3 linked regions of the Pelodiscus sinensis genome follow. The main gene of each other region encodes a partner of the protein of the gene in region 3 in a complex. Links are inferred from orthologs where the notes say so. Each region holds a gene or a part of one and is shown on either strand. Other genes may lie near its edges.

What was found.
Region 1: the proteins of NUDT21 (region 3) and CPSF6 are in contact, whole or in part, in a crystal structure (PDB 3P5T), measured with the Homo sapiens proteins. The link is inferred for Pelodiscus sinensis from reciprocal best matches to the Homo sapiens genes NUDT21 and CPSF6. Residues at the interface, in NP_008937.1 of Homo sapiens: Pro151, Asn152, Glu154, Pro156, Tyr158, Tyr160, Pro162, Ala163, His164, Ile165, Thr166, Lys167; in NP_008938.2 of Homo sapiens: Trp90, Trp91, Thr92, Thr93, Asp94, Glu95, Lys113, Phe114, Glu116, Asn117, Arg118, Ala119, Asn120, Gly121, Gln122, Ser123.
Region 2: the proteins of NUDT21 (region 3) and CPSF7 are in contact, whole or in part, in a crystal structure (PDB 3N9U), measured with the Homo sapiens proteins. The link is inferred for Pelodiscus sinensis from reciprocal best matches to the Homo sapiens genes NUDT21 and CPSF7. Residues at the interface, in NP_008937.1 of Homo sapiens: Arg68, Asn152, Glu154, Pro156, Tyr158, Tyr160, Pro162, Ala163, His164, Ile165, Thr166, Lys167; in NP_001129512.1 of Homo sapiens: Trp91, Trp92, Thr93, Thr94, Asp95, Gln96, Glu112, Lys114, Phe115, Glu117, Asn118, Arg119, Ala120, Asn121, Gly122, Gln123, Ser124.

The regions. Positions count from the first base shown.
Region 1 is NC_134711.1:63,705,842-63,715,494, reverse strand, and holds the start of CPSF6 (cleavage and polyadenylation specificity factor subunit 6), read right to left. Parts: upstream 4,166-9,653; 5' UTR 4,069-4,165; coding exon 4,009-4,068; intron 1-4,008. UniProt on the Homo sapiens protein: Component of the cleavage factor Im (CFIm) complex that functions as an activator of the pre-mRNA 3'-end cleavage and polyadenylation processing required for the maturation of pre-mRNA into functional mRNAs.
Region 2 is NC_134714.1:125,563,913-125,573,980, forward strand, and holds the start of CPSF7 (cleavage and polyadenylation specificity factor subunit 7), read right to left. Parts: upstream 3,902-10,068; 5' UTR 3,868-3,901; coding exon 3,777-3,867; exon of another isoform or gene 3,721-3,776; intron 3,442-3,720; coding exon 3,338-3,441; intron 1-3,337. Other genes in the region: SDHAF2 (succinate dehydrogenase assembly factor 2, mitochondrial), read left to right, coding at 3,908-3,928, 4,010-4,209, 6,891-7,000, 8,419-8,549.
Region 3 is NC_134722.1:44,117,127-44,126,474, reverse strand, and holds the start of NUDT21 (cleavage and polyadenylation specificity factor subunit 5), read right to left. Parts: upstream 3,851-9,348; 5' UTR 3,695-3,850; coding exon 3,579-3,694; intron 779-3,578; coding exon 578-778; intron 1-577. Other genes in the region: prolyl 3-hydroxylase OGFOD1, read left to right, coding at 4,074-4,242, 4,389-4,534, 7,917-7,963. UniProt on the Homo sapiens protein: Component of the cleavage factor Im (CFIm) complex that functions as an activator of the pre-mRNA 3'-end cleavage and polyadenylation processing required for the maturation of pre-mRNA into functional mRNAs.

The sequences.
Region 1 (9,653 bases), on a different chromosome or scaffold from region 3:
TAAAGTCCTTTTGCTGTTACAGATTATTTTGTTCAAGGAACTGACCGAAATGGTTTCAGCAAAAGAACTCTTGCTGGTATAAGCTGTGTCTTCACTAAGAAGGTTTGCTGAGACCCAGATGACTACACTGGCAAACTTTCTAAGAAAAGTGATGGCAAACTGGTATCCAAACAAGCAGCTTATACAAAGTATTTTTGGTGCCACTGTCCTGACAACCAAAATCATTATAGTGAATGCCAAGTACTAAGTAGACCTGGATCACATTGATATTGCAAGAGGCAAAATATTCTCAATCATCTCCCTTCTTGAAGTCATTCTTGCAGAGATGGCTTCCAAAGAGAAGTGAACACAGTAGGCATCTGCATCATATTTGTAACCAGACTTTAAAGGCTTGTCCACACAGTTACATAAGTACAAACCCTCTGTGGACTCTTTTTTCAGCATGAAAGTATTTCAGCTTAATTTAAATCAATTCCCAATCAACTTAACTATACTGAAGAAAGCATTCATGCTGAAATAGGAGTGTTTCTACAGAAGTTTGCACTGGTTTCACTGTATCAGTTTAAATTCACGCCTTATGTTATCCCTGGGCAACTTTCCCATATAGACAAGGCATAAGAGAACAAACCAGTCTTCTCCACCTGCTTACTTCATGGTATATCACTCCCATGTATTATATAATGTCACCAAAATGACTAAATGATTAAAGCATATGTCTAATGTTATCTAAATATTCTCTGATAAGCATTCTTCCGTTCCTTTTCTATCTACCACTCAAATAACATCTATTTTTTTACAAACACAATCACCTATTTCCTCTCCACCTATTTTGTTTCCCCTCTCTGGCACACATCAACCTCCCCCTGCTGAAAGATGTATTCAAGGACCTACTGCAGGGCATTAGTAGCTCTGCAGATCTGGAAGTGTTTGGGAGATGGCTGCTTTATTTAATTTCTCATGCTCTAGGTCAGGAAAAAAACCAACAATCTGGGGTATGGTGACAGGAAATTTGTCAGAGCCCATTTGATATAAATACAGCTAAGTTACAGAAAACTGGATTAAGAACATGACATGAATTTGGTAAGGGCACATACATAGGCTTTTTGAGATGAATGAAAAATGAGGAAAAGCAAGAACTATAAAAGTAAACAGATGAAAGCCAGTTGGCTGTATGCAATACAGGAAAAAAGGAGATGTGTCTCCATAAACAGGCAAAAGCAGTTGTTAAAGTATATGCCCCAAGTGTCTCAAGACTGGATCAACTCTCACCTTCAGGAGACCCATTGGTTTCTCTCTTAGTATTTAGTTATTCATTTTTGCATTCTGCAAGAAAATGCAGCGCATATTTTTACAGTTCTCTTCCCTCTGGATGATAAATTTGCCACATATTAATTTCTCCTACTAGATGACCTTGCACAGGGCAAGAAATTGTGCTTGCTCCCTGGTTTCTTTCTCTATCTGCAGACTGAGGATTTTCATGCATGTGTTACAGAATCTAAATTAGGCAGGGCTCGACAAACCATACAATCTACTTGCCCGTGGCAAATAGATTTCAGCCACGAGCCCTGTTCATTCGTGGCGTGCGCATGCGCAATGCGGCTCTTGCACATGCGCAGTACGGGGCTGGCAAGCAGTTTTCACCGCCGTTTGTCAAGCCCTGCTAACAAGGATATAAAGTCGGTTAAAAAAGATGAAATTTTTTAAAGTCTGAAAAATCTTAGTTACACACACAGCAGGCTCTGCAGTATAAACTTTAAATAAAGCCTTCTCCCCAAGCAAAGCCACTTCCCCGGGAGCAGAGTTGGCAAGAGCTGCTGGTGCCACTCCTGGGGAAGAGGCTTCCCTGCCACAGGGGTTGGTCCAGGGAATCAGCATGTAACCTGGGTCCAGGGAGTCAGCATGTGGCAGTGGGCTGGGCCCGCCATGGACAGGGGTTGCTCCAGTCATCCAGAGCAGCCCCTGCCTGTGGTGGGCCCCACAAGGATGGAGCAGCCCGCTGCCCATCCTCCAGTCCCTATAGTTAACTGGAAGTAAGCATTACCCATTTAGTGTGACGCTTATCAGTCAGCCAGTTATCTTTACACATCCCTGATCTCTAACTCTCTTAGATGCTGGTAGGATTCATGTGTTTTATAGAATTTCAAGGGATAAGGTGATTTCCAATATAGAGATGCGAGATATTTTCCTGTGTGTTAGTGTCTCTCTGGAGTTGCTCTTTGTGTGTCCATCGTTCTCCGGGGATACACAGATGGGAGTTAGTGGTGTGTGTCTCCTCAGGTTGTGAGTTGGTCGGGGTTTTGCCGTCTGTCACAGCCTCTATTCTCAAACAGGGCCATGCTCTGGGTGTTATACTCTTCAGCAGTGGTGGGCAATATGACGGTCACATACAGCCCACTGGAGTTCTATAAGTGGCCCGCTAGACATTTTGTTTCCTGTTGCCCACATACAGGGTTGTCAGATTCCACTGGTTTCCATTGGTGGCGGGGGTGGGAGGGTTGGTTGTGTGTGTTCTGTAGCAGTATTACTAAAGTGACATACACATAAAGTAACAGCATATGAATTGATGTGCATGCTGATTACAAGCTACGGATGTCAACATGTAGTCACCTATATGATTAACCAATTAGCCTAGGCATATTAGTTAATCTTGTTGACTACATGCATTTCCACCCACCCTCATTGCTGCCTCTTTGTTAGAGGCAGCAAGAGTGGGGGGAGAGGGATGACAGGAGCTGGTCCTGGGGGGAGCCAGATTAAAAGGCAGTTCACCCCAGCACAGTGCTGCCTTCCCCCTCACGCTGTTGCCTCTATCAGTGGCAGCGGGGGGAGAGGCAGCCACAAAGCAGTCTCTGTCCGTGAGGAGCTTGGACCCCCTATGGACAAGGGCTGCTTCCAACCCGTGCTGCTACCTCTGTATCAGAAGTAATGGAGAGGCAGGTAGCTGTTCTGCGCGGGGGGCTGGTTTTTAAGCTGGCTCTCCTTGCAGACCAGCTCCCCCAGCCACCTCTGATACAGAAGCAGTAGTGCAGAGTTGCAGGGGGCATCCCAGGAATGGGGCTGGGAGCACACTGGCTGCCAGCCCCACCCCTGGGGACTATCGAATAGTTGTGTAATCATTAAGATTTTATGCAATTACACAACTATTCAATTACCTGATATCTGACATCGCTAGTTTGCATGCAGGATTTTGAGCTGGAGCAAGGGTTGGGGTGCAAGAGGAGTTGCAGGGTCTGGAAGGGAGCTTTGGTCCAGGATCAGGTTCTGACCTGAGGTAGGGTATTGGGGTGCAGAAAGGGATGCGAGGTGCAGGCTTTGTTCCTGGTCGGGAGATACATACCACTGGTGGCTGCTGGATGACAAAACAAGAGGATGCTGGTGCCGCCCTAGACTGTGGCAGAGGAGGGAGGACCACTCCTCCCCCCCACCCGGTCTCAGCCTTTAACCAGTTAACTGGTTAAGCTGGACTTGGCCCGCAGGGTGTATATTGTTCATCCTGCTCCAGTGTGTTAGTCACTTCACGCTCTCCTCAGGGATATGGAAGAGTTGCTTTGTGTATAATCTCTCAGGAGATACAGAAATGGGACAAAATACTGGTTGTGCAATACTGTCTCTTCAGGGGGCTCTGGAGATGGGGGGGGAGTTGCTGGGTGTGTGCTACAGCACCTCAGCGTTATGCGGAGACGGGTGCTGCTCGGCGCGTCACAGTCTCTCCCTCGCAGCCACCCCCACCAGGCAGAGGCGGGCAGCGCTACGAGGATCGGGCCGCCGGGCTGCGGGTCTGCCACAGGCCGCTCCCGCTCTCCGGGCCGAGTCGTGTTGCCCCCGTCGGAGCGAGCGGCGCAACCCCCGCCCGCCGGGCCCCCAGCTGCCGGGCCCCGCGCATGCGGCCTGCACCAGCGGCCTAGTGCTCCGCGGGAAACCCGCGCCCGGGCGCCTGCCCCAACAATGGCGGCGGCAGCGCCGCCTCCTCCCCCCCGCGCGGCCCCGCGCCCGCCCCCCCGCGCGTACCTGGCTGAACTCCTCGCCCACATCGGCGTAGATGTCTATGTGGTCCACGCCGTCCGCCATGATGCCGCCCGCTCCTCGGGCCTCCGCTGCCCGCCGCGCCCGGGACTAGAGCCGCCGCCGCCGGGGAGGGGGAAGCCGACGTCACTTCCTGGAGGAGAAGGGAACTTCCGTTTGCTGCACCCGCTCGGTGCCGAATCCTCTCCCCCGGCTGCTGCTCTAGCCCACCCAGTGCGCCTGAGCCCGCCCCGGGCGGGGGTCTCACACAGGCTGCCGCCCCTCCCGCTGCTGGCAGCTTCTCAGCGCCGCAGGCCAGGGAGTAGGTGTCCCCCCCCCCCCCGCAGCGGGGTTGCTCTTTGGCCAGGCTCCCCCGCTCGTTGGGGGGTGCGACTGGGGCCCCATTAAAGGAGGATGTGTCCATTCAGCAGCACTCGCCGGCCCCAGCTTGGCACCCCATGGGCTGGAGGGGTGCCTCGGCTCCACAGCATGGATCGAGCTCGTCACAATCATAGAGCTGGAAGGGATCTCGAGGTCATCGAGTCCAGTCCCCTGCCCTCATGGCAGGACCATGCACTGTCTAAATAAGTGGTGATTTATATGAATCCATGGTTCATCAGCGTTCAGGACCAGGGGCCAGTTCCACCAGTGTTTGGGCCTATGTTTTTCAGAGCCATTCCATCCATAGGGCAGACTAGGGCACCAGCCCTGAGTTCTAGCCAGAGATCAGAGGCAAGGGCTTGCCCTGCTCTTTGCATGCTGTGGCTCCACATGGCTCTCGGGAGTAACAGCATGTCTCCCCTCTGGCTCTGATGCGCAGGGGCAGCCAGGGGGCTTCGCACACTGCCCCCACACACCATACTAAGGAAGTTAAAATGCAATTATTAATGTCCTTTCTTGCACAAGAATCCGCAGACCATCCACACTGCCCGCCCGCTCTTGCGGAAGAAGATTTAAAGTACAGCGTGGTACGAGAGCACTTCTTGCACAAGAGCTACACTCTTTTCTAACAGGTGTAGGCCCTCTTGCACAGGAGCTCTTGCGCAGGAGGGCAGTGTGGACGCACGGCAAGGATACCTTGCGCAAGAAAGCCCTATGGCTAAAATGGCCATCAGCTTTCTTGTGCAAGAGAGTATTCACACTGCCATGGATGCTTTTGTGCAAAAGCACATCTCGCACATGGCAGTATGGACGTGTTCTTGTGCAAGACTTCTTACACAAGAACCCTTGCGCAAGATGTTCTTGTGCAAGAACCCACCAGTGTAGACATAGCCTTGGAGGCTACCAGGGCAGGCCCATACATGAGGGAGGGGGGTGAAGGGTGCAGTCCCCCAAGTAAGCATACTCTGGCCAGCCAGGGGAAGGCTGAGGCTGATTTCCACGCTTACTTGTGGGACAATAGGGAGTGCGTTCACACCTTTGTGGTCCACATTTACAAAAAAAGCACACCTCACAGTTATTTCTGCATATGGGCCTGCAGGGGGCCTGGCACTAGCAGCTGAAAGTGACCCTTGCCACTCTACGACACTCAAGGAAGAAGACAGAAGACAGAAAGAGGCAAGGCGGAGGTTTGCAAGAGGGAATGGAACAGATGGGGGGGGCGGAGGGGAGGGACAGGAACCAGAATGGGCTGGGAATAGGTTGCTCACTGCTGCAGTGCCAGGATCCCTGCTAACTCCCAGGCATTCTGGACCCTGCATTCTCCTAAAGTGAAAGGCCTACAGTCCATTCTATGAATTGACATGAGCAATCACTTGAAGAAGAACATTCCCTGGCAATGAGTTTCTACTGCTTATTTCATAAGGTGACCGTTAGTTCTTGAGTTATGTGAAGGGCTAAATAACATTTCCCTATTCTCTTTCTCCATACCACCCTTAGGCTATATCTACACTTGCGGCTTCTTGCACGAGTAATATGCAAATGAGACTAAGCGTGGAATATTGCCGACCCTCATTTGCATACCTAATGAGCCACCATTTTTTTCAGAAGAGGCTCTTGCGCAAGAAGGAGCGTCCACATTGCCCCTTCTTGCGCAAGAAAAACCCTCTTGCGCAATGCCGTTCTTCCTGAAAAGTAATAGGTGTAATGGCATTGCGCAAGAGGGTTTTTCTTGCACAAGAAGGGGCAGTGTAGACGCTCCTTCTTGCGCAAGAGCCTCTTCTGAAAGAAATGGTGGCTCATTAGGTATGCATTGTATATGCAACATATGTATATTATGCAAATACAAATGTATACTATGCTGCATATTCAAAAAAAGGAGTCCTTTTTTCCCTTTTTACCTCTTACTGAAAACTCGTTAATATTCCTCAAGCAGTTGTAAAGTCATTGTTGGCTAGAGCCTCATTTCTAGAGTTGCTATCTGTCTTGTAGAATTCTTATATTAAGTGGAACAGCTAAAATATTTCAAATACATTCTAAACTATACCAGAGTTTCCTGTTTACAGGAACTTCCAGAAGGTCTACCCCATCCAAGAGCTCACAACTTTACCTGGAAAAAAAATTGATTGATATGAGTTTACAGATAGATAAAGACAAATAGAGACCTAAAAACATGCTCAATGGGATCCTAAGTAAATTTAGAGGATGGAAACATTATTGAATAAAATTACTCAGAAGTGTTGCAGTCAAATTTTCTCATCTTAAAATATATTTTGACCAAGTAGCAGGGGGAAAGTGAAGGATTTGCCATGACATTATATTTTAAGAAGTTCCTGAAGTATTACGATTCAAATGCAGTGAAGTAATTTATTTTTGTTTGATGAAAAGCAGATCTAATACCTGATATTTCATACAAAGACATAGGTGCAGCACTTCAACTCTTTTTAACCTTTTTTTCCATCAGGCCAAACTGGAGAGAGTGCAGAACTATAGAAAATACACCAGTTCCTGTGCTAATAAATTGACAAGCAAATCATCACAGATGCTGGGATTACATTTAGCAGAGTTTTAGATACATTTTGGCATTTTAAGTGTTGATTTTAATGATATTTGACTAGAAGAGCATGGAAATAAATGTGAATGGGAATGCCATTCTGCTCTCTTTAGGAACATGGCCCAGATAATTCTGCACACCATTGCAGTGCTTAACTCTGAGGTAGTTTGCTATCTAGTGGAATCCTCAGCCCCAAATTGGGCACTCAGGCTCCTCATTCAACTATTGGGGAAAGCAAGGTGTCTAGGAAAGAAAGCCTGAGAAATCACCAAGCTAAAGGGAGGGGGGCATTGGGGAACAGCCTAAACTAGTCAGAGGTGAAATTCTGAGAAAAGAGGTGGAGAGAGGAGACGTATATATGCTCCTAGCCAGGTTACCTGGGTACTTGTGGCTGATGGGCCAGAAATAGGCACTTCCCTCCACTCAGGCTCCTCAGCCAGAGACCCTCTGCTGGAGTTAGACACATAAGCCAAGTCAGCCAATTAGGTGGTTCTTGCCCTAGTAGCCAAAACCATCCCTTTCTCAGTCTGCTGTTCAGTATTTCTTTCATGATTTGTCCCATTTCCCTGTGCTCCCAACTTAGCCTTTTATGTGACTGCTGTGCTGTCTCTGACACCTAAAGGTAGACTGCAGCCCTCCTGCTGTGGGACTTGACAGGCATCAAGTCTTAGGCTACCCCAGAGAGTGCCTGTGGGATCAGGTCTTGCTGGCAAATACGCAATCCTCTGGCTAGTTTGAGAATCCTGCCTAGGGGCCTCCTGGGCTTCAGTGTAAACTAATCGTCAGAGCTGCTCATTAGCTGTGGGGTGGTGTCAAAACTTCGGTTGCTTAGCAAATGCCAACTGACAGAAACTTAGGCTCCTATGAGACTGAGATGCATATGGGGTTAGGCAGCAGCTAAACAAGGATTTTGAAAATATTAGTGGTGCCTAAACAGTGGATGAAGGCTCCTAAAGAGACAGACAGGCACCTAAATACTTATGAGGATCTGCATGCTTCTGATTGACAGGTGCCTCTGTAGAAATTGGAGAGCCCTAAAGTGGGTCTTTGAAGAATCAGGAAAAGTGATCTCCCTTCCTTTGGCCTATGCCATAAGGAAGATGGTTTAATAAGGCTCTCAGTGCCCTTTGTGCTGTGTTTTTATATTCCAGAGACATCCTATCTCTTTGTAATCTGGTAAACCTCTCAAAATTGTTCAGAGAGTAGGCTTACCGTTTATAATAGATATATGGTATGTGTAATACTTGTTTTGATTCTTGTATAAGTAATGTTATGTTGAAAGTTCATATTGTAAACTTACTTAATGTGAAAGACTCTACACATTATTCAAGCTCATCTATTAATTTCCTGTAGTAGTCTGTTTTTTCTTTAGTAGACACCATGAAGATTTTTTTACTGTACTGGAATATTTAAATTCATTGAGTTATACCATTATCCCTTCCATAAGGCACTCTTATTCGAGTGATTGAGGGAGGGGTATCTTAAACACCTTCCAAAGTAAGATGCACTAAGCATCAACATGGGGAGTTATATTGGTATAACTATCTCAGTTTAAATTCACACCTTAGCACTTAGCTTATACCTGTATGACATTCCTGTGTAGACAAGCCCTTGATTGCAATGTAAATCTTATTTTTTGAGGACAGCCATCCTCCATTCCTTGCACATTGCAACTTTCATTAATTTCATTTCAAGTTTGGGATGTGCAATTAAATAGATACAAGGCCCTTAAGGCAACAAGTATAAAACTTTATTTCCTTATAATGGAAACTCAAAATGGTTAATCACTTATGTGATATGATTTTTTTCATTCTCACCTTTCCACTTTGCAACTATGGTAACATTTCATCATATAACAGAAAACTAATAATAACACCTATATAGATGGCCAGTACAACGCAAAGAAAAAAGTCTTGAATTCTTTGTTGACCTATGGAGTTGCTATCAATTCATCTTAGTAATATATAAAAAATAATAGATCAGCCTCTTTCTATGAAAGAATAAAATAAAGACTTATTTTTAAGTTTCCCTTCAAAGCAGAATCTGGAAAAGATAAAATCTGAGGACACTCTCACTTACGATCTTTTTTCTGCTTAGAGAGCACTTGGCTAATTGTTCCAGCTTACATTTTAATCCAATTTTAAGTGATATAATAATTCATAACAAATAAAACAAACCAGTACTTTTATTGTTTGTGTAGCTCATCTAATAGTTTTATTTTCTTATTACATGATACTAGGAGATTTACCTGGTGTTGCTTGAGCCCTTAATTTTTGTTTTTCTTCGTTTAAATCATTGCTCAAGGACGGGGCTGGCTCTGAGGGGAAAGAAGACTACCCCAACCCCTTACACCACAGCAGCTTGGGGCCAGGTGAGAAGCACCTGTCCGTAGCTACTGCAGCTGCAGTGAGCACAGCCACAGGAGGGATGTATGTCCCCAGCTGGGGCAGATTCAGGTTCATCTGCCCCCTGTGCTCCCCAACCAGAGCAAGGAATTCAGTAAACTATGTACTTCCCTTGTTCTCTGCTGAAGGGGAACAGTGAGATATGTTCCTGTATGAATTGGGGGGAGAAGGGAGAGCTTTGGTCCCCTCCACCAGGTCTGGCCTTACCATGAGGCAAACTGAGGTGTCTGCCTCAGGTGCTAGACTGTGGGGGGGCGCCACTAGGACCCAGAGTGTAGAAAATTGCATCTGCTACTGGTAAATATGTATTCTCT
Region 2 (10,068 bases), on a different chromosome or scaffold from region 3:
CTTCTGGACTTAAAAACTACATCTGTTCATGTGTGTTGGAGATTGTTTTATCTGTGAATGTTTTCATCATGCTGTTTACTTTCAATCACTGAAACTGTTGAATAACAGTATAAGAACATGTCCAACACAGATTTTTTTTCTGCATCCAATAAACATCTTCCTCCCAATTCAATTCATTGCCTTTTATTTCCATTCTTCGGCAGTGCTTTTCCAGACACTTCTGAAGACATATGAAAATACTCACAGCCAAACCAATCTGGATAGTTACTGTTGCACAATAAGTGCTTTAAAATCAAAACAGAAAAGCATCAAATGAGGAGCTTGATTTTTTTCTTTATAATTCCATGATGCTTACGTTGCTCATATCTCTGCTAGTCTTCGAGAGGTTTATGGAATATTATTTTAATTAGGAACTGACAGATCTTCTAAACAATAATTGCCAGGGTAACACTTTTCCCCTTTTCTGAAAATCAGCAGCACATTTATTTTTCTCCAATCTCTTTCTCCAGGAATTTTCAAAATAATCAGAAATGACTCGATATATTTGTTAGTCATTTTCCATTACACTAGAATGCATGTAATTCAGATGGACTAATCTACCTGGCTACGTCCACATTGGCCCCTTTTCCGAAAGGGGCATGCTAATTTTACAGGTCGTAATAGGGAAATCCGCGGGGGATTTAAATATCCCCCGCGGCATTTAAATAAAAATGTCCGCCGCTTTTTTCCGGCTTTTAGAAAAGCCGGAAAAGAGCGTCTACACTGGCCCCGATCCTCCGGAAAAAAGCCCTTTTCCGGAGGATCTCTTATTCCTACTTTGAAGTAGGAATCCTTTGAAGTAGGAATAAGAGATCCTCCGGAAAAGGGCTTTTTTCCGGAGGATCGGGGCCAGTGTAGACGCTCTTTTCCGGCTTTTCTAAAAGCCGGAAAAAAGCGGCGGACATTTTTATTTAAATGCCGCGGGGGATATTTAAATCCCCCGCGGATTTCCCTATTACGACCTGTAAAATTAGCATGCCCCTTTCGGAAAAGGGGCCAGTGTAGACGTACCCCCTATGTTTGTATTTTCCAAATTCTCTCATACCTACTCTTCATGAGTAACTACTAGGTTCTCATTCTGCTCAACTGTCCAAAGTAGGGATGTTATGTGGGTAACTGCGTAAATCTGTAACTGCTGAAAAACGTAGTACAGGGCTACGTGGCCCGCAGACCATTTGTTGGTGCCCCACGGTGTGGTTTGGGTTCACACAGGGCTCAACATGTGCCCCACGGGTGGGATCCTTTGAAGATGGCCTCCACTGGGAACACACTCCACAATGGCAAGTCAATATAACGATCTTCTGTTGATATGCGTTTTAGTAGTTAAATTCTTGGACTGTCATTGCTCATTAGAAGTGCTGTCATATGGGTGGAAATCGGGTAAATATTGCATTTTATTAACATCAGCAGAACTGACTTAAACGGGGCCTGCGTGTTGTGTAGTCTTGCCTTAACCTTTGTATTCATACCCGTCAGGGTAAAGGAAGCTATTTGCATATATATTTGCATTTAAGTGTTGGCCTTCAGCTTGTGCTGTGAATATCGTCGCCCCAGGGGGCTTCCAAAGTTGAGTAGCCCTGACGTAGCAGTTACATGCACTCACAGCGGCTCCCTGGGAGCCAGTGTGCACCAGGAGCCGGCTGTATCCAAGGCAGCAGTGGAGGATGACAGTCAGTTCCCCAGGACTAGGGTGGGACCTGTGTGTAATCGCCAATGTTAACGTGTAAGCCTAGGCTTATCAGTTAACCATTTACACTGTTATATGTTCACAACCCTAGTCCAAAGCTACCTGATATTACTTGTTAGAGGTTAACTGCAAGAAAACTGAATTAAATATATTTCTATGCTGAACTTTTTCAATGGCCACATCCCTTAAAGTAATTCTTGTCCATCATTATATCATCATCCATCCAGTACACCTTGGATAACCATGCTATACTCTAGGATGCTTTCAGTCTATCAGAAAGTTCCAAGAGGCTTCCAAACAACAGGAAATATTTCTTTTAAAGTTAAAACTGCTTTCAGTGCAAGATAAAGCTTGGCTATTGAAGGTCACATAGAACAAAAATACCTTTAAAAAACTGCATAGCATTATGGTAAGATGGGAGAAAGTTTAAGACCTCAGCCATTTAAAACTAGCCTCAATTTCATACTCATTTAATGCGCCTGCTTCCAGTCTAACACTACTATTTCTCCCAGGATAGCTACAAAAGCTTCTCACGTTTCTCTTAACATCCATGACACAACTAAAACTCTATTCAGCACTGTTAACTTTTAACTAAAGGTTTAACTTCTGGCATAATCTTATTTTGTAACTTCCCATCTTTTCAGAACAGAGGTTTACTGCCTTCAAATTTTTGTTCAACCCTTTGTGAGACCACACTGGCAGTCTCTTGTTCTTAGCATTTTGTTCCTGGAAAATAATCAAGACTGATTGCCGTTTTCTGTCTAAGAATATCTAAGCTTCTTCCATGATCTCAGACATATCACTTCCTTAGCATTTTCATCTTCAAGGAGCTGAACTTGCTTCCATTATACCCACCTGTCCAGATTTCTTAACTCTCCAATATTTGCTTCTCTAAAACCTAACAGATTTGGGCCACTGCATTCATGCTCTTTATTACATTTAATTCAATGTACCGCTCCCTAGCTTCGCTGTTATACTCTCAATCATTTTCTCACTGCAAATCCAGGATACGCTTTTGTGTGCATGCGCCTACAGTCCCAGAAAACCTCTAGTGGATGCCCCACACAGCTCTTTTGTGGTTTCATTTCCTGCCTCCTACCCTCAAGTTTTGTAAAAGAAGATGGTTAGGTTCTCAATCTGTTGTATCCACCACTTCCCTCTTCGCCAACTCCACGGATGTCCCTGGCTTAAGGAATGCTTCAGCCCAACAGGCAGCTGCCCGCTTCTTTCTCCCTATTGCCCACAGACTGCAAACCAACCGAGCACGAACTCCAGCTGCAAAAAAGTGTCCCCTACAGATTCCATCCAGGGACCTAGATCACAACTTGGCCACCTCACCCGCTCCTTCCAGGCTTCACAGGGACTGTGGGGAATTGTAGCACCACCCTTCAGCACCTCAATGCTCCTGGGCTGGCGCACACACCCCATCACGTGCCTTGGCCACCGGAGACGTACAAGCCCATCGGTGCCCCCTTGCTGCCCTCTTCCCAGCCTCGCCCTCTCGGGAGCGGAGTATCCTTCACAGGGGGGGGGGGCTTTTACAAACAGCTCCCCCCCCCCTCGGCTCCCAGCCCCCCCCCCCCCCCGGGTGGGGCTCTCCCCGCCGCTCACCTGGTTGAACTCTTCGTCGGCGTAGATATCGATCAGATCCACCCCCTCGGACATCTTGGCAGCGGCGGGAGCCCGGGGGCGCAGGGAGGGAGGCAGGAGGTGCACTGCGGGGAGAAGCGGCTCAGTCACACGGGCCGGCCATGTGCGCCCGGCCTCGATTGACCCCCCCCCAGCCCTCCGCCGGAACGCCTCACTCGCCCCCTCCCCCCGCCTGGGCCCCCCCCGTCCTGCCCCTCCCCCCACAACGAGCAGGGGCCAGGCCCGGCTCCTCCAGGCCTGGCGGGGGGGGGGGTCCTGCCGCCGCCGCCCCCCCTCCTCTGCGGGCCCGATCCCCGCTGCATCGAGCCCCCAGGAACCCCTCCCCCCCTCGGCCAGGCCGTTACCGCGCGGGGAGGGGGGGCAGCGTTCCGAGCAGGCCCGAAGCGCGCGAACCGCTCACCGCCACAGCCTGCGCCGCTAGACCACGCCCCTTCCGCCGCCAGGCCACGCCCCTTCCGGCCCGCCCCGCCGGGACCGGAGGGAGGGACCATAGAGAGGCCGAGGTAGCGCGGCCGGGCGCAGGCAGCGGAGATGGCGGCGGCAGGGACTCGGGTAAGCGGGGCGGGCGGTGGCGGGGCTGGGGGAGGAGGCGAAGCGAGGCCCGGCCCGTGACGCGCCCCCCTCTCTCGGCAGCTCCTGGCTCTGTCCCGGCGGCTGCTCCCCGCCCGGCGCGGCTACCGCGGGGACTCCCCGGCCGACTCGCGCGCCGACCTGCGGGCGCTCCCCCTGCCGCCCTGGCAGCCGCGCCCCGGCGAGCCCCTGCCGCGCAAGCGGGCCCGGCTCCTCTACGAGAGCCGCAAGCGGGGCATGCTGGAGAACTGCCTGCTGCTCAGGTAAGCGCCCCCGGGGCTCCCGCCGCGTCCCCCGCACAGACCCCCGCAGGCGGGGCGTGGGTCTGCTGTACACGCAGCAGGAGAAACCTCAGGCTCGTGGGCCTGGATCCGGCCCCCCAGGCTCAGGGCTCCCCTCCTAGCACTGGGGAGCTGCAGCACACACAGTCTGCAAGCCTGGGTCCTACTAGGCTCTGATGCGGGGAGGGTCTTTCTCCTTCTCAGTCGGGGGCCACGTCAGTGAGGGTTCCGGGCTTGGTTTTTTTTTGGTTTGGCTTTTCACTTCTATGCAGCACCCAACTGACTTTCTGTAGGTCAGCAGCCCCTGACCCCAAAAAGGTTCCCCGCCCCTGTTCTACAGCTTCACCTGAGAGCCAGCTGGCTTTTAGCTCAAGCTGTGGTCGCTTGTGTACTAAGCTCCAGAAGACCCAGGTTTGGTTCAGTCAGCCGGCCTTACACCTACTTGAGGGAAGAGGGGCATGAGAGTCTCCTCCTCCCCAGCAGCTCTCCCGGCTTTGCTTGCCTCTACTGGGCTGCTCCATTCCCCACAGTGGGGAACCAAGGTTGCCTTTAGGTTCGGTGACACTTCAAAAAAGAGCTAAATAAATTCATGAGGAATATTAGCCAGGACTGGCAGGAATGGTGTCTCTAGCCTCTGTTTGCCAGAGCCTGGGAATAGGTGACAGGGGAGGGATCACTTAATGATTTATTCCCTCTGGGGCACCTGGCACTGGCTGCTGTTGGAGTACAGGATACTGATCCAGTGTAGCTGTTCTTAGTGATCTGGAGATGGCAGTGAGGTGTGAGTCACAATGTACAGATGACATGAAGTTACTAACATTAGTCAAGCTGCAGGGGGCTGTGTGGCACCTTTGCAAGACCAAGCCCTGTTAAGGGAATGGGCAGCATAGTGGCAAGTGAAATTCAGTGCTGATAAAATACTCCGGTGCCATCCCATAAATCAGTAGTGCAGCCTCAGCTGTTTTAAAAAACACAGTAGGAGAACCAAAAAAAGTGCCACCTTGCTTAACAACCAAGTAAAAGAAGCAGTGACAGATAAGACATTTTTTATAAAGTAGAAGTCAGATCCTAGTGAGGAAAATAGAAAGGAGCATAAACTTTGTCAAATTAAGTGTAAAAACATAATAAGAAAAGCCAAAAAGGAATTTGAAGAACAGCAAGCCAAAAACTCAAAACGTAATAGCAAAATGTTTAAGTACATCAGAAGCAGGAAGCCTGCTAAACAACCAGTGGGGCTCTTGGATGATCGAGATGCTGAAGGAGCGCTCAAAGATGATAAAGTCATAGCGGAGAAGCTAAATGGCTTCAGTCTTCACAGCTGAGGATATTGGAAAGATTCCCAAACCTGAGCCATTCTTTTCAGGTGACAAATCTGAGGAATTGTCCCAGACTGAGGAGTCATTAGAGGAGGTTTTGGAACAAATTGATGAACTTAACAGTAACAAGTCACTGGGACCAGATGGCATTCACCCAAGAGTTCTGAAAGAACTCAAATGTGAAATTGTGGAACTATTAACTGTGATTTGTAACCTATCCTTTAAATCAGCGTCTGTATCTAATGACTGGAAGATAGCTAACGTGATGCCAATATTTAAAAAGGGCTCTAGAGATGATCTTGGCAATTACAGACCGGTAAGCTAGAGTTCTTTGAGGGGGTCGACAAACAGTGGATGAGAAGCTGGATATGAGTCAAGAGTGTGCCCTTGTAGCCAAGAAGGCTAATGGCATATTAGATTGCATTAAGAGGAGCATTGCCAGCAGATCCAGAGATGTCATTATTCCCCTTTATTCGGCTCTGGTGAGGCCACATCTGGAGTACTGTATCCAGTTCTGGGCCCTCAATTACAGGAAGGATTGTGGATGCATTGGAGAGGGTCCAGTGGAGGGCAACCAAAATGATTAGGGGGCTGGAGCATATGACCTACAAGGAGAGGCTGAGGGAGTTGGGTTTGTTTAGTCTGCAGAAGAGAAGAGTGAGGGGGGATTTGATAGCAGCCTTCAACTTCCTGAAGGGAGGTTCCAAAAAGACTGGAGAAAGGCTGTTCTCAGTAGTGACAGATGGCGGAACAAGGAGCAATGGTCTCAAGTTGTGGTGGGAAAGGTCCAGGTTGGATATTAGGAAAAACTATTTCACTAGAAGGGTGGTGAAGCACTGGAATGGGTTACCTAGGGAAGCAGTGGAGTCTCCATCCCTAGAGGTGTTTAAGTCCCAGCTTGACAAAGTCCTGGTTGGGAGCTTCTGTTCTCTCTGTCTCCTAACAAACAAAGGGGGACAGTCAATTACATGGAATGATGGGAAGTTCAGAGCTGATAAAAGGGAATCCTTTTTTCACACATTGCCTATTTAGCCTGTGGAACTCCCTACCATGAGAAGTTGGTGAGGCCAGGAACATGGTAAGTTTCCAAAGCATCTGGACATTTCCATGCGCAATTAGAATGTCCAGAGTTGTTATTTATAATAGATGTTGGCAGGACTATTAAACTTTTCAGCTACAGGGTCAAACAGAACTTTAATAACTAGAGATTGGCTTAAGGGTAGATTATCTGCCTGCTCCTGGCCCTGGCCAGTTTAGTACAGGATGCTGTGCTGGACAGACCCAGGCTGTGAGCATGGCACTTCCTATGTTTCTAATGCTTTGTGTCTTCTCTCTTGCCTCATTTAGCCTCTTTGCAAAGGAGAATCTGAACAGCATGACTGAACAGCAGTTGAACCTCTATGATCGCCTTATCAACGAGCCCACCAATGACTGGGACATTTACTACTGGGCAACAGGTACTGTCTTGCAACAGGGCACGCTTCACAGGAGGCAGCATGGCCTAGAGCAGAGGCGGGCAATACATTTTAATGAGGGGGGAGGGGTGCGCCACTTTGAGATTTTGGAAAGTAGTCAAGGACTGCACTTCTGTGAACGGGGCACGGTGTCTGGGACAGCAGGTGGAGAATAGAAGGGAGCTTGGGATAGAGGACTAGATTGCAGGAGGGAGTGTGGGGTCTGAGAGGGAGTTTGGGTGAAGGAAGGGATTATAATCTGGGGCAGAGGTTTAGGGTGCAGCAGAGGATTCTGGCCTGGGGGAGGAGTGGAAGGGGAGTGTGTGTGCAGGGACTGGGAGAGAGTTGTGACCTGAAGGAGGTGGGGAAAGGGGATACAGGGGGTTTAGGTGATGGCCTGGGGCACGTAGTTGTGGGAAGTGAGGGGTGCCAGAGGCAGCCACTGGCTGGGGGGCGCTTACCTAGGCGTCTCCCAGCCAGCAGCCCTGCAGACTCCCTACCTGTGTGCTGCGTGAGCTGCTCTACGTGTGTCTGCACCAGCCTGGGAGGGGGAGTAAGGACAGCTGCCCAGTTTTCAGCAAAATTTTTTGGCTCCTATTAGCCAAAAACTGGCCAATGGGAGCTGGGGGATTTTGTTAGGGGCGGGGACAGTGTTGGAAGCTTCCTCCTCCCTGCACAGCTTGTAGAGCAATTAGCTGCCTGCTCTTTAAAGCAGCTGCTCCTGTTCTGTAGTAAGGGTGCTGGCGAGGCAGCTGGGGGCCAGGTACAGCAGCTTGGCTCACCCCTGGCCTAGAAGATAGAGCAGTGGACTGGGGCTCTGTTCCAAAGTCTGCCACAATTCTGCTAGGTGACCTTGGACAAGTCTTTTCCTCTCCCTGTACCTCATGTTCCCAATCTATAAAATAGGGATGAGGATATTAACCTTTGTAATCTACAAGAGCTAGGTGGTGGTATAGCTGGGCCGTGACTCCTATGATGGGATGGAGCAGGAAGCTTTCTGGGGTGATGAATGTATCTCAGTTGATCTAAACTCCACACCCAGCGTGGATCAAAATGGCAGCCACAGTGATTCTTGCTCAGAAAATGCCCATGGCTTCCAATCTTCATGCTTTAAAGTACAAGATGATCATAAGATGGGGGCAGGAAGGAATTCCCCAGTACAACAGGAGAAGTAAAACCCTGCAGTAAGTGGCTGCCATCTGAGATGGGTGTCGCTAGGAGAAGTGGTTAGCTGCTCTGACCTGAGATCCCATGGTGTTTGGTGAAGCAGGCTTGAAAGAGGCACTGCAGTGTTAGAAGGGTATGAGACTGGCTTCACTGTGACTCCTGATAGGCTGCACCAAGCATAAAGATGCAAAGCTGATGACTGAAAAGTGGGGGTGGGGGTGCTGCATCTCATCCTGTGTCTTTTCTCCCTAAAGAAGCTAAGCCCACTCCGGAGGTGTTTGAGAATGATGTCATGGTGATGCTGAGAGAGTTCACCAAGAACAAGAACAAGGAGCAGAGACTGCGGCAGCCGGACCTGGAGTATCTCTTTGAGCCCCAACACTGAGGCACCTCCAGTCAGCTCTGGGATCCTCTTCTCACCCCTGGCAGCAGAGGCTGAGGTGTCTCGACCTATTTGGCAAACTGCAGTGCTGCTGCCCTGGCTCCTGGAATCCTCCGCCGGGTGCCTGCTTCTCCCCCGATTTCCAACCCCCACCAATTAAAGTTGCAAACACTGTCCCTGACAGTGGGAATGTATATGTGGATTTGTCCCATTGTTGTGCAGGTGCAGCAGTTCACCCCAGACAGTGGCATTTTATGTATATAGCTTCTCTCGCATCTTGGTGCAAGAGAAATAGAAGATGATCACATCATGACAATGTGCTTTGTCTCATTGTGAAATTCCTCTTGTTCACCTGTGTGGCCTCTCTGATGGCTGCAGCCTCTCCGTTAACCATTCCTTGTAAATCCTTGTGTCCAGGACCCTCCAATGGGGAAAATCAGTGTAAAGAGAGAAAACAGACCCACCCGGCCGAAAGAGTATCCACTGCTCCCTCTTCTCCAGACTCCAGGAGGGGAGCAGCAGTGCCATGCCATGACAGTAGCAACAGATCCCACCTCAATCCTGTGTGAGGTTAGCGACCAAAATATGCAACCGATCCCATAGGCTGAAAACGGTTTGCTTAACTGAGCACTTTCCAAGAGTGTAGGTGATTTTGGGTGGGTGGGGCAGAAGTGTCTAAGGGTCGCAGTTCTGTGCCAGGTCCTGTTGTGCAAGGACAGAACAAAATGGGCATTTCCTGTCCCATAGAGAGAGAGTTTCTTGGCCTCTTCCCCCCCGCTGGTGCTCAGATTGTGTCCTTAAGGTAATGGCTGGTGTGGGAAAGAGCCTAGGAGGGGTTTGATGAGTTTAACTTGCTGTGTATCAGCTGGAAAGGAGGAGGAGCCAACACCTTGTAACCAGTAGATCTCAGCTACTTGAACTGCTGTCCCAGGATAGCCTGGCTATTGTGTCTCCTGTGTTATCAGTAAGGCCCTGTTGAATCATGGTTTCAGGGACTGTATGGGTATATCTACACAGCAAAGTTATTTCAGGATACCAGAGGAATCCCAAAATAGCGGACGCGTTCAAAAGACGGGTAGCTATTTCGAAATATAGTGGATGCACTATTTCGCTATCCCTGTAAACCTCATCCTACGAGGAGTAAGGGATGGCTTGAAATAGCACTTGATTTCAAAATTTGGCACTGGGTAGGCAGCAGCAAATGATGAAATAAATAAGCTATTTTGAAACAGACTCGAAATAAGCTATGCAAATTACATGTTATTTTGAGTTTCGGGTGCTGTGTAGACGCACCCTATGGAAATTGTGAAATTAGCCCAGTGCTGTGTTTTTGCCAGTAGGGAGGGAGATGGAAGTGGACTTAGGACAGCTCACAATAATGGGGTGTAGGCTGGGCAGGTTTCATCAGATGCCACTGTACATCCAGCCCAGGCTGTAGCTACAGTTGCTTGCTTGGCCAGCAGGGAGAGGGGGGCAGTGACAATGCCCCAGTCTGAAGCCCTGACCCAGCAGCAGGCCTAAG
Region 3 (9,348 bases):
CACTTGAAGAAGTGCACAAAAATAAGAAGATAAGTTATCATGAGGGGATAATCCTGATTTGGAAGTCCAGATAACCCAACCAGTCATTCCCACCTTTAATTCCGAAGATTGTGAAATTTACAAGAATTCATCTACTTTCTCTTTCCATAACAATAAAAGCACAGAAAGGAAACTTATCATTTATAAGCAACTATATTTTTAAAATTTAAGGTCAATGATTTAAGGTGCTGAGTGTGTTTATACATGATTTATTTTCATCATGTCCCTTCATTCAGAGACAATAATAATTACTGGTGACAAATTCTAAAAGCATCAATATACATGTTGATGAAGTCTACTATAATGAAGGCTAGTCGTCAACGCAGCAATAGATTATCATCAACTTTCTGCAGGGGATGATACAGCATGGTTTGCCATATAAACAGCAGCAACTGCTGGAACACACCCTTCGATCCATGATTTCTTAGTACAGATGAGCAGCCTATATATTTGCTGTTCAACTAATCTGTTATTTGGTAATGCTCTGTGATTCTACTAAACATTACTATAATGTCAAGTTCCAACGATATACACTTACAGTTTGAAGAAAGTTGTACCTAGCTGCAGTAGTAGCACATGTGGCAGCCTATGCTCATGTACAATCAGAACTCCCTCTACAGTCCGCCTCATTCCAATCTTGTCAAATTCTTCCCTCATGCGCTGAAACCGGGCTGCAACTGAACTATCTTTCTCATAAAGGGGCTCCTTTGTACCAAATGTATAATTTGTAAGTGGATACCTAGAAGATAAGTCACATGTTACTATATCATGAAGACTAACCCAGATCTCATGAGCACAACTGCACAGTACATCCTGAGGGTCAGCTACCGTAGTATAAAATTAGCTATCACTGATTTCAAAATATTTATAAGATGTGCACACATATGCTCCCTATTCTCTTCTGGATGCAATTCAAGGTACTGGTTATAATCTATAAAGTTCTAATTAAATGATTTGGGCTCCACTTACCTGAAAGGCTGTCCCTCTGCAATTGCAAGAGTAAACCACTGGCTCACACTCAGCTATTCCAAGCCTTAAAGCTCTCCACAAATAGCAGCAAGACACTCAAGTAGAGAGCCTATATCTGTGACCTCCTACTTGATCTCTGCCTGAGTTAGGAGAGTTCTTAAGCTTGTGCTTTCAGAGTCTGTTTGACAGACTTTTGAATAATCATTGTAGTAGCAGGGAATGAGTTTGTTAATAAGCAGGGGAAGTTCTCTTATATTTGGTTGATCGGTTCTTGATTTTTATTGATTTGTGCAGATGCTTTGATGCAAGATACTAATATGCATTTCTAAATAACTCATTTGAATCTGATAACTATTAAGGTCATTATAAACATTTCACTTGAAATCTTTTTAGGTGTTTCTTTTCTAAAACCTTAATCTTAGAGATAGCTTCCCAAATTCAGTGCTAATTTGGAATTTCTCCCCATCTTCCAGTACAGAGTATCAGAGCCAATTCTCATGCATGCTGCTATTCTACAAGCATCTCTAGTTTTAGAATATCTTAATGAACATCCTCTCAATTACAGGTCTCTTGCTTCCTGATCAATGGTGTCTTTATTATCTTTATTACCAGTCTCTTGTATTTTCTCCTCTTTATCTGTGGCTTTATGATTTCACCACTATTTTCTTCTTCTACTTAAATTATTTCAGAAATCTCAAATTATAATTCCTTCTCTAAAATAAGATTATATTTATCATAGAGAAGCGCTGTCCACTTTATAAATGTGTGATATTCCTTAATCTGGATCCAAAAAATTTGACTTGTACTAATAAACACAAATTCAAAGAGTTACAGCTTCTTGCTAACAGACTGTTTCCCCTCAACAAAAATCCCTGTAGATTAACATTTTCACTTTTAAAATTAGTTTTATCCATTTGGGCTTCAAAGTAGGGATGTAAAAGAGTAGTTGAGTCATCTTCTTACTTCCCCCCACCCTCCACCTTGGGGATGGAGAAAACAGGAGCCAGTGCTGGGAGAAACCATCTTAAAAGAGGCAAAGGCAGCAGGGAGGTGTGAGGGGTAGAGGAGGCTTCTCTGGCAGCAGAGCCTTGGGCTAGCCACACCCTGGGGCTGCTGGACCTGGTAGGAGCAGGGACTTAGCAAACAACAAAGAGTCAGGAAACACTTAGACTGATGAAATATCTAGAATTTGTTATCATGAGATTCTTCAAAGACAAAGAACCACTGTTGCCCTCATTGTTTGATAGGTAGGTAATGACCTAACCATCCAGTATCTTTGTTTAATCCAGAGGTGTGAGAATTGAACTTGCAAATGAGCTTTATTATTTGCTAATTAATGGTTCTTATCTGCCCCCTTTGACTATCTAGTCTTTAGGTACTTATAGACTCAGCTTTCCTTTCATATATTTTTTACCTACTGCCTTTTCTTGTTACCTCCTCCTCCCAATTTTCACTTCTTCTCCCCCCCCCCTCCCCGCCCATTCATTTTGGTCCTAGAAATCCAACACTCTGGTCATCTGAAGAAGTGGGCGGTGCCCACGAAAGCTCATGATCCCATCTACATGTTGTGTTAGTCTATAAAGTGCTACCAGACTATTATTTGTTGTTTTTTTAGTTTATCTGTACAGACTAACTCAGCTACCCCTCCCCCCCAAAAAAAAGCTCTGAGTGTGTAATGGTTAATTGTGGAGTACTGAGTATTACATTTGTTTGCCATTACTGCAACTTTGTAAACTTATCAAAGAAGAAAAAACTAAATGTGATGTCCACTGTAAAGCTAAGCCTGCTTCAATAAATGGCCCACTAAGGCAATCATTGCATACCAGCACTTGCATGTTACTTAATACAAATCAAGTTGCATCCTACAGCTTCCAAACATCCAAAAAAGGTACATATTTGTCCTGTAAACTCAGTACACGCTGAACAATGAGCACATATTGGGTACACACTTTTACATCCTATACACAAACTCAAGACACCACAGAGGTGGAAGGAATATAAACCCTCAGGAAAACAGGTGTGCAACTCTCCTAACTCAGCAACCCCCTTATTTAATCTCACTTAGATAGCAGCGGTATATTTACACCCCCCGTTGACGGTCCTAATGCCTCTCCTCACAAACTGAAGGTCTCCTCCAGGTAAAGAGCCTGCTCCCATTAAAGCCATCCCAGTTAGGCAGAATTCAGTCCTCTCCAGTGTGAGCAGATAGTGGGATCAGAAGGGGCCTCCTTCCCTCAGGCCCTCACCTCCAGCCTGAGGTGAGGGGCTAAGGCACAGGCAGGAGCAATGGGGAGAAAGGGCTGTAGACGGCCCTCTCCAGAGCCAGCAGCTCCGAGAGTTCAGGGTGTTGCTCCCTCCCCGGAAGCCGGGGGAGATCTAAGCCCGGGGCACGGTGAGGGTCTTCCACAGGAAGGGGGGGACGGGGCTCGCAGGTGGATGTGGGGAGATTGGGGGAGGGGCTGGGGAGCTGAGGGAGGGGGGGGCCGGGCCGGGGTCGGGGAGCTGAGGGAGGGGGGCTGGGGAGCTGAGGGGGGGGCCGGGGAGTTGAGGGGGGAGGGGCGGGCACTCACAGGTTGATGGTGCGCTCCAGCGTGAGCGGCTTGGTCTGCTGGATGTACTTGTTCCCGAACTGGTTCACCCCGCGGGGCCAGCCGGTCTGCGAGCGGTTGGGCGGCACCACGGACATGATGGCGCAGCGGCAGGCGGGAGGGGCTAGGTCACTGCTCGGCGGCGGGAGCCAATTCCACCATTAACATCCCCGCGCGCCAGGCCTCACACCCCGCCAATGGCTCCGCCGGAACCGACCGGGCGCGCGCCGGAAAGGGTAACCATAGAGACTGGCGCACAGAGCGCCTGGACCATAGAGGACAGCAAGCGCGCCGCCACCCGCCCTACGGCGCACGCGCACCACTGGCGGCTTGTAGCCTCGCTCCCCTTGGCTTCAGGGCCGCGCTCTTCTCGGCTCATTCCGATTGGCTCCCTGGGCTGCGCGAGCGCTGCTGGGAGTTGTAGGCCCCGCGGGGGTGGCTGTCCCCGCGCGCTGGCGGAGCAGAGGCTGTTTGACCATGAGCGCGAGCCGTCGCGGCCCGCGGGCCAGGGAGGCCCCGCAGGGCGGGCCGGGCAAGAAGCGGGGCAAGCGGGAGGTGCGCGGGGAGTTCTCCGCGGCTCTCAGGGAGCCGGCCCTGAAGGAGAAGGCAGCGGCCGCCTGGGGCCGCAGGGAGCCGCTTAGCCACGGTACCGATTCCCGGGGCCCCTCCCCCACTCGCTGAGGCGCCCGGGCCTGGCCTCCCCTCTCGGCCCCCGCGGGCCAGGGCGGCGGCGAGCTCGTGGGGAGCCCGAGGCGGGGCCTGGCCTCACCGTGTCTCGCTTGCTGTCTCCAGAGGCCGTCGCGGTGGATCCTGCGCCCTTCTGTCACTGCGTGATTCCCCGCTTCATCCGCAGCCCGGGCTTCCTGGACGGGCTGCACCAGGAGCTCGCGAGCCTGGATTTCCGTGAGAAGAGCAACGACTTGTACAAGTTCAAACAGGTGCGCTGCCATGGTAGGCCCGAGTGTGTCCGCACCGATCTCACAGCGCTCGCTGTGTGTTCATAGCCCCGGTCTGTGCTTGCAGCTATTTGTGAATTCAGACTGGCTCCATCTCACTTGTGTCAGTGAAACTTCTGTCGTTCCGGAGGGTGCAAAAAACACACTTCGGACCAACATTAAGTTTCACCAGCAAAAGTGCTGATGTGGACAGTGCAGCTACACAGGAGACCTTACAGCAGGGGTGTCTAAACTTTTTTCAAAGAGGGCCAGATTTGATGAAGTGAACATGCGTGAGGGCCGACCATTTTGCCTGACATTCTTTGAGCCATTCAAATTAAATGCAAATTAACTATTTTATGCAAAGTTTATTGCAAACGGCATACTTTTCATTTCGTCACATGGATGACAAATCTAAACAGGTGTTAAATCACTCTGCCTTTCATATCTGAAGGCCAGATGAAAAAAAAATCCAGGAAGCTGAAATATATGTCAGGAACATTGTAAAGTACATTACATATTATTGGTAATAAAGGTTGTCTGTCAACTTTTAAGTTCAAAAAATATGAACAGGAACGTAACACCAAGTATACATGTTGTGTCCAAATATATTTATAACTGATTTAGACCAACTGACATTTTACAATGTATTCATCTCAATACATATGGATTCGTTGGGGGCCATAAAAGATAGATATTGCCAAATTACCTGTGGGGCCGTATTAAACCGGAACACGGGCCGCAATTGGCCCGCGGGCTGGACTTTGGACATGCCTGTCTTACAGCGACACTGCTGTACAAATGCATTCATGTTTCATAGATCTAGGATAAGCCTCATGACACCTGGACCAGTGTGTGTGGCTATCATAGCTGATAAAGTTGAAATGTGGAAATAAGCAAGATGACATGCCATGGTTAATGTTGTCAAAAGCTGTCACTAACTGTTGAGAAGCGCTATTTTAGATGCCTAACTTAAATGAATAAACCCTGGGAAAATGCTTAAAATGTATAATTTTGCACAACTATGTAAAATGTAAATCTATGTAATTAACAAAGTGTAAAGCAAATGCATGTTGGAACTATTTTTATAAGAATTTATTCAAGCCTAATTCTGACCCATGACTTTATCTGGTTTGTAGGGGATCTCAAGTTAATGGCAAAGCTGTGAGTGAAACTCCTTGACACCTATGTTTATGCTGATCATATGTCCCATTTTTTTCAGGACTATCCTGAATTTAAATGATCTGTCCCAGTGCCCCATCAAGTAGAGAAATGTCCCAGAAAGCCCCGCTGGACATTTCACTACTTGATGGGATACTGGCGCAGCAGCCTCCTCCCCCCAGCAGGGCATGTAGGGCTACTGGGCCAGTTTCCAGTGGCCCGCCCTTTCCTCTCTCCCTCCCCCCACAGGACCGCCTCTGCTATGCAAAGTCCTGGTCCGGCAGCCCCACCTCCTTCTCCTCCAGGCCGCCTTGGAGCCTGGCAGGAGCCGTGCAGAGCCTGGCTGAGATGCTGCAGGGTGAGGGGCGCTTGGCTCGGCAGGTGCCATGACAGGAGCAGGGGCCGCCTGTGGAGCTATTTTTAGTGCTGCAGTCCAGATCATGGTTGGTGGCCCAGCTCCAGCTGGAGTCAAGCAGCAGTCATGCAAGGAGTATTCTGGTGAGACTTCCCCAGATGGAACGTGCCTCGTAGGGCTGCCACTTGGCTCCAGCTGGAGCTAGGGCCGACCACAGAGACTGTACTGCGGCACTAAAAATAGCACTGTGGGCAGCCCTGGCTCCAGTTGGAGTCAAGTGGCAGCCACACGAGCCATGTTCCAGCTGGGTCTCGCGCAGATGCCGCTGGACTCCAGCCGGAGCCAGGGCTGCCCGTGGGGAATGGACTGCGGCACTAAAAATAACACTGTGGGCGGCCACAGCTCCAGTCCCGGCAAGTGGTCCGGCTCTGGGAGCATCTGGGGCTGCGGGGACTTCTGGGGCTGGTCAGCAGGCTCCACCCCCACAAACTGGAAGGCAGAAGCTGAGGGAAGGGGCAGGGAGAGAACTAAGGAGAATGGAGGAAGGGACTTGTGCTGAGGCAAGGGGGGGTACGCCAGGAAAAGAAAGGGGCAGGCACCAAGGGGCAGGATGCAGGAAAGAGAAATGCCAGGCCAAGAGGAGACAGTGAGGAAAAGGAGGGAGGGGAGAGGCAGGGTGATGCTGGGAGAGGAAAGGGGAGGGACCGTGGGGGCAAGAGGGAGGGAGAGGAGGAGTGAGTGCTGGGAGAAGAGGCATTTAAAGGCGCGATGGACCTGAGGAAGGCAGGGGATGGAGCAAGTCGTGTGAGGGCACAGAGGGGAGTGAGGAGAACTGGGGTAGAGGGTGGTGAGGGAGTGGGCACCAAGGAGAAGGAGGGCAGGGGCAGGGGGGAAGGGAGAGGCACCAGGAAGGTATGTAAATATGATTAAGGAAGATCATTCTTCTTGGGAGGTGTTTAGGTGTTGTGTTGCTTGTCTGCCTGTACCCATATGAGCATGAAAGAGTATTTAATGATGACTTTTGCAGAATAATAGGTGCAGACTAACTTAGGAGAACACAGGTTTAAACCTAGATAATAGACACTGGGGGCAGTGTCCCCTGCTCGCTCCGCTCGTCAACCCTCCTCTCTGGGGGCAGGCAGCCCTGACTTCCCACCCCAGAGCTCCGGGGAGGCTGGGGAAGCCACGTGGCTGCCACCCTGTCCCCAGGAGCTCCAGGGAGGCCACTTAGCTGCTGCCCTCTCCGGCATCAGAGAGGCTGGGACCCTCAGCACCAGTATGGGAGTGAGGGAGGAGGCTGGGTGGCTGAGGAGGGAGGAACTGCAGGACGCAGAGTGACATGATGGCATCACTCTCTCATCCTGCAGGAAAAACTTACACATGTAGAAAGATTAGTAATCCTCTTCTGCTTTCTCCACCCTCTGGCACGCTAAAAATTGGCTGTCCCTCCATCTCTGTCGTCTGAAAGAGAAATCCCTATGTGTATATCCTGTACAATGCTGAAAGTAGAGGCTCTTTTGAGGTGTGGTAGCCGTAGAATACAGATACTCCCCTCCCAAGTGCAGACATTTCCTTGGCAAGTCAATGACTCAGCTTTAATATCGAGTGTTGGACCAGTGCCCTGAGACCTTTAACTTGCATTGGTGAAGCTGGCATTGTGCCCTAGTAACTTTTGGGCTACTTAATTCGCCTTTTGCCTGCAATGGCCCTCTGCCATCCATTCTGCACTCCGGTTCCTGCAAGAGCTGTAAATTACACTGATGATACTTATAGACTTATTTAAGTTCTGCCCTTATTTATCGCTGCAGCTGTAACTTAGAGCAGAGTCCAAATTAATAAATTGTTCTTATTTTCCATGCATCTCCTTAGTCTGATGATCTGAGGAAGAGGAAAGAGCCTTACATCTCAGCATTAAGGTAAGGTAGTTCCTAGAAATCACAGCAAATCATTAGGCACCCTTTTCTAGAGGTCTGAAAGGAACAGGGCCAAAAAATGAAAATAATTTTGTGAAAAAATTCATGATTATTTCTGGTTCAGGGTGTTCAAAATCTTAAATGTTTCATGATTATATTTCTGATATATTTGTGAGTTGGGACTCTTTTTTAAAGAGATAATTATTAGAAGTTTTTATTTACCAAAAATAGTTTTGGTGACCCATTTGGATACAATTTTTATAATGTTTCCAGTAAACATGTCAGAAGAAAAAATCAGACAAAAGCACAATAAGTTCATGAGAGAGCAAAAGCTTATAGGTTAATGCTATAGACTACATGCATTTCCCTCCCTCCACCACTAGTACATTTTTTAGCAGTCTGGCCAGCAGCCCAGCTCAATTCCGGTTTGTGCCGGGTCTGGGAGCTCAGACACCCCCTCTTCCCCCTGGCAAGTGCTGCTGACACCCCACACGGCTGCCTCTTTATCAGAGGCAACAGCACAGGGCAACAAACAGCTGGTCCACAAGAGGAGCTGGTTTTTAAACTGGCTCTCCTTGCACACTAGCTCCCGCTTGGCACCCTGTACTGCTGCTGGCCCCTCCCCTGGGGACTATAGAATAGTCCACTAACCGATAAGAATTAACTCAACTATTCAGTTAACTGATATTTAACATCCCGACTCCCAACTCTGAGGAATGTGGCAGGTGCTTAGTCCTTCAAACCCCATCAAAGGGGTTTCCTGTTCATAGCAGCTGTTCGATCACAACAAGAACCCTTATATATTATTCATACTTTTCTTAATACAGTCTGGGCCTTGGATCTTGTCCTCACATAGCAAGTGGTCAGGAGACAAAGGGAAAAGTTTCAAAAGGCTGAGTTCTTGCATAGCCAGAGGGTGCGCATTAAGATCTCAGGAAGTTATTCCAGGGAATTGCCATATCTGTCACAAGAGGCTCTCCTCTTGCCACCTCCCAGCGGACAAGTAAAAAAATGTAATTGTTTAACTTGCTAATGAAGCCCTTTCCCTGCCAACCTGCCATATGTCAACTGTCATTTGTGTACTCAGAACCTTACAAAAGGCCTAGGGCCCACACTATCCGTTTAGATGGGGTAAAAGGTGTCATACCAACTTTACATATATGATCGTTTCAGTTAGATTCTGCCATGTTAATGCAACCATCCACCATGCATAGCCTGCCTGATGGATCTTTTTTGTGTGTTTGGTTAAAGCTAACACCATCTCCTAACTAAAACCCCGTTTATCTCCATACAATGTTGCCAGTTAATTCAACCTGTATAGGACACTCTCTACTATTTGGGAGGGAGGGAGGGGAAGAATGTATAGATTTCCCCCATTTGTGTAATTC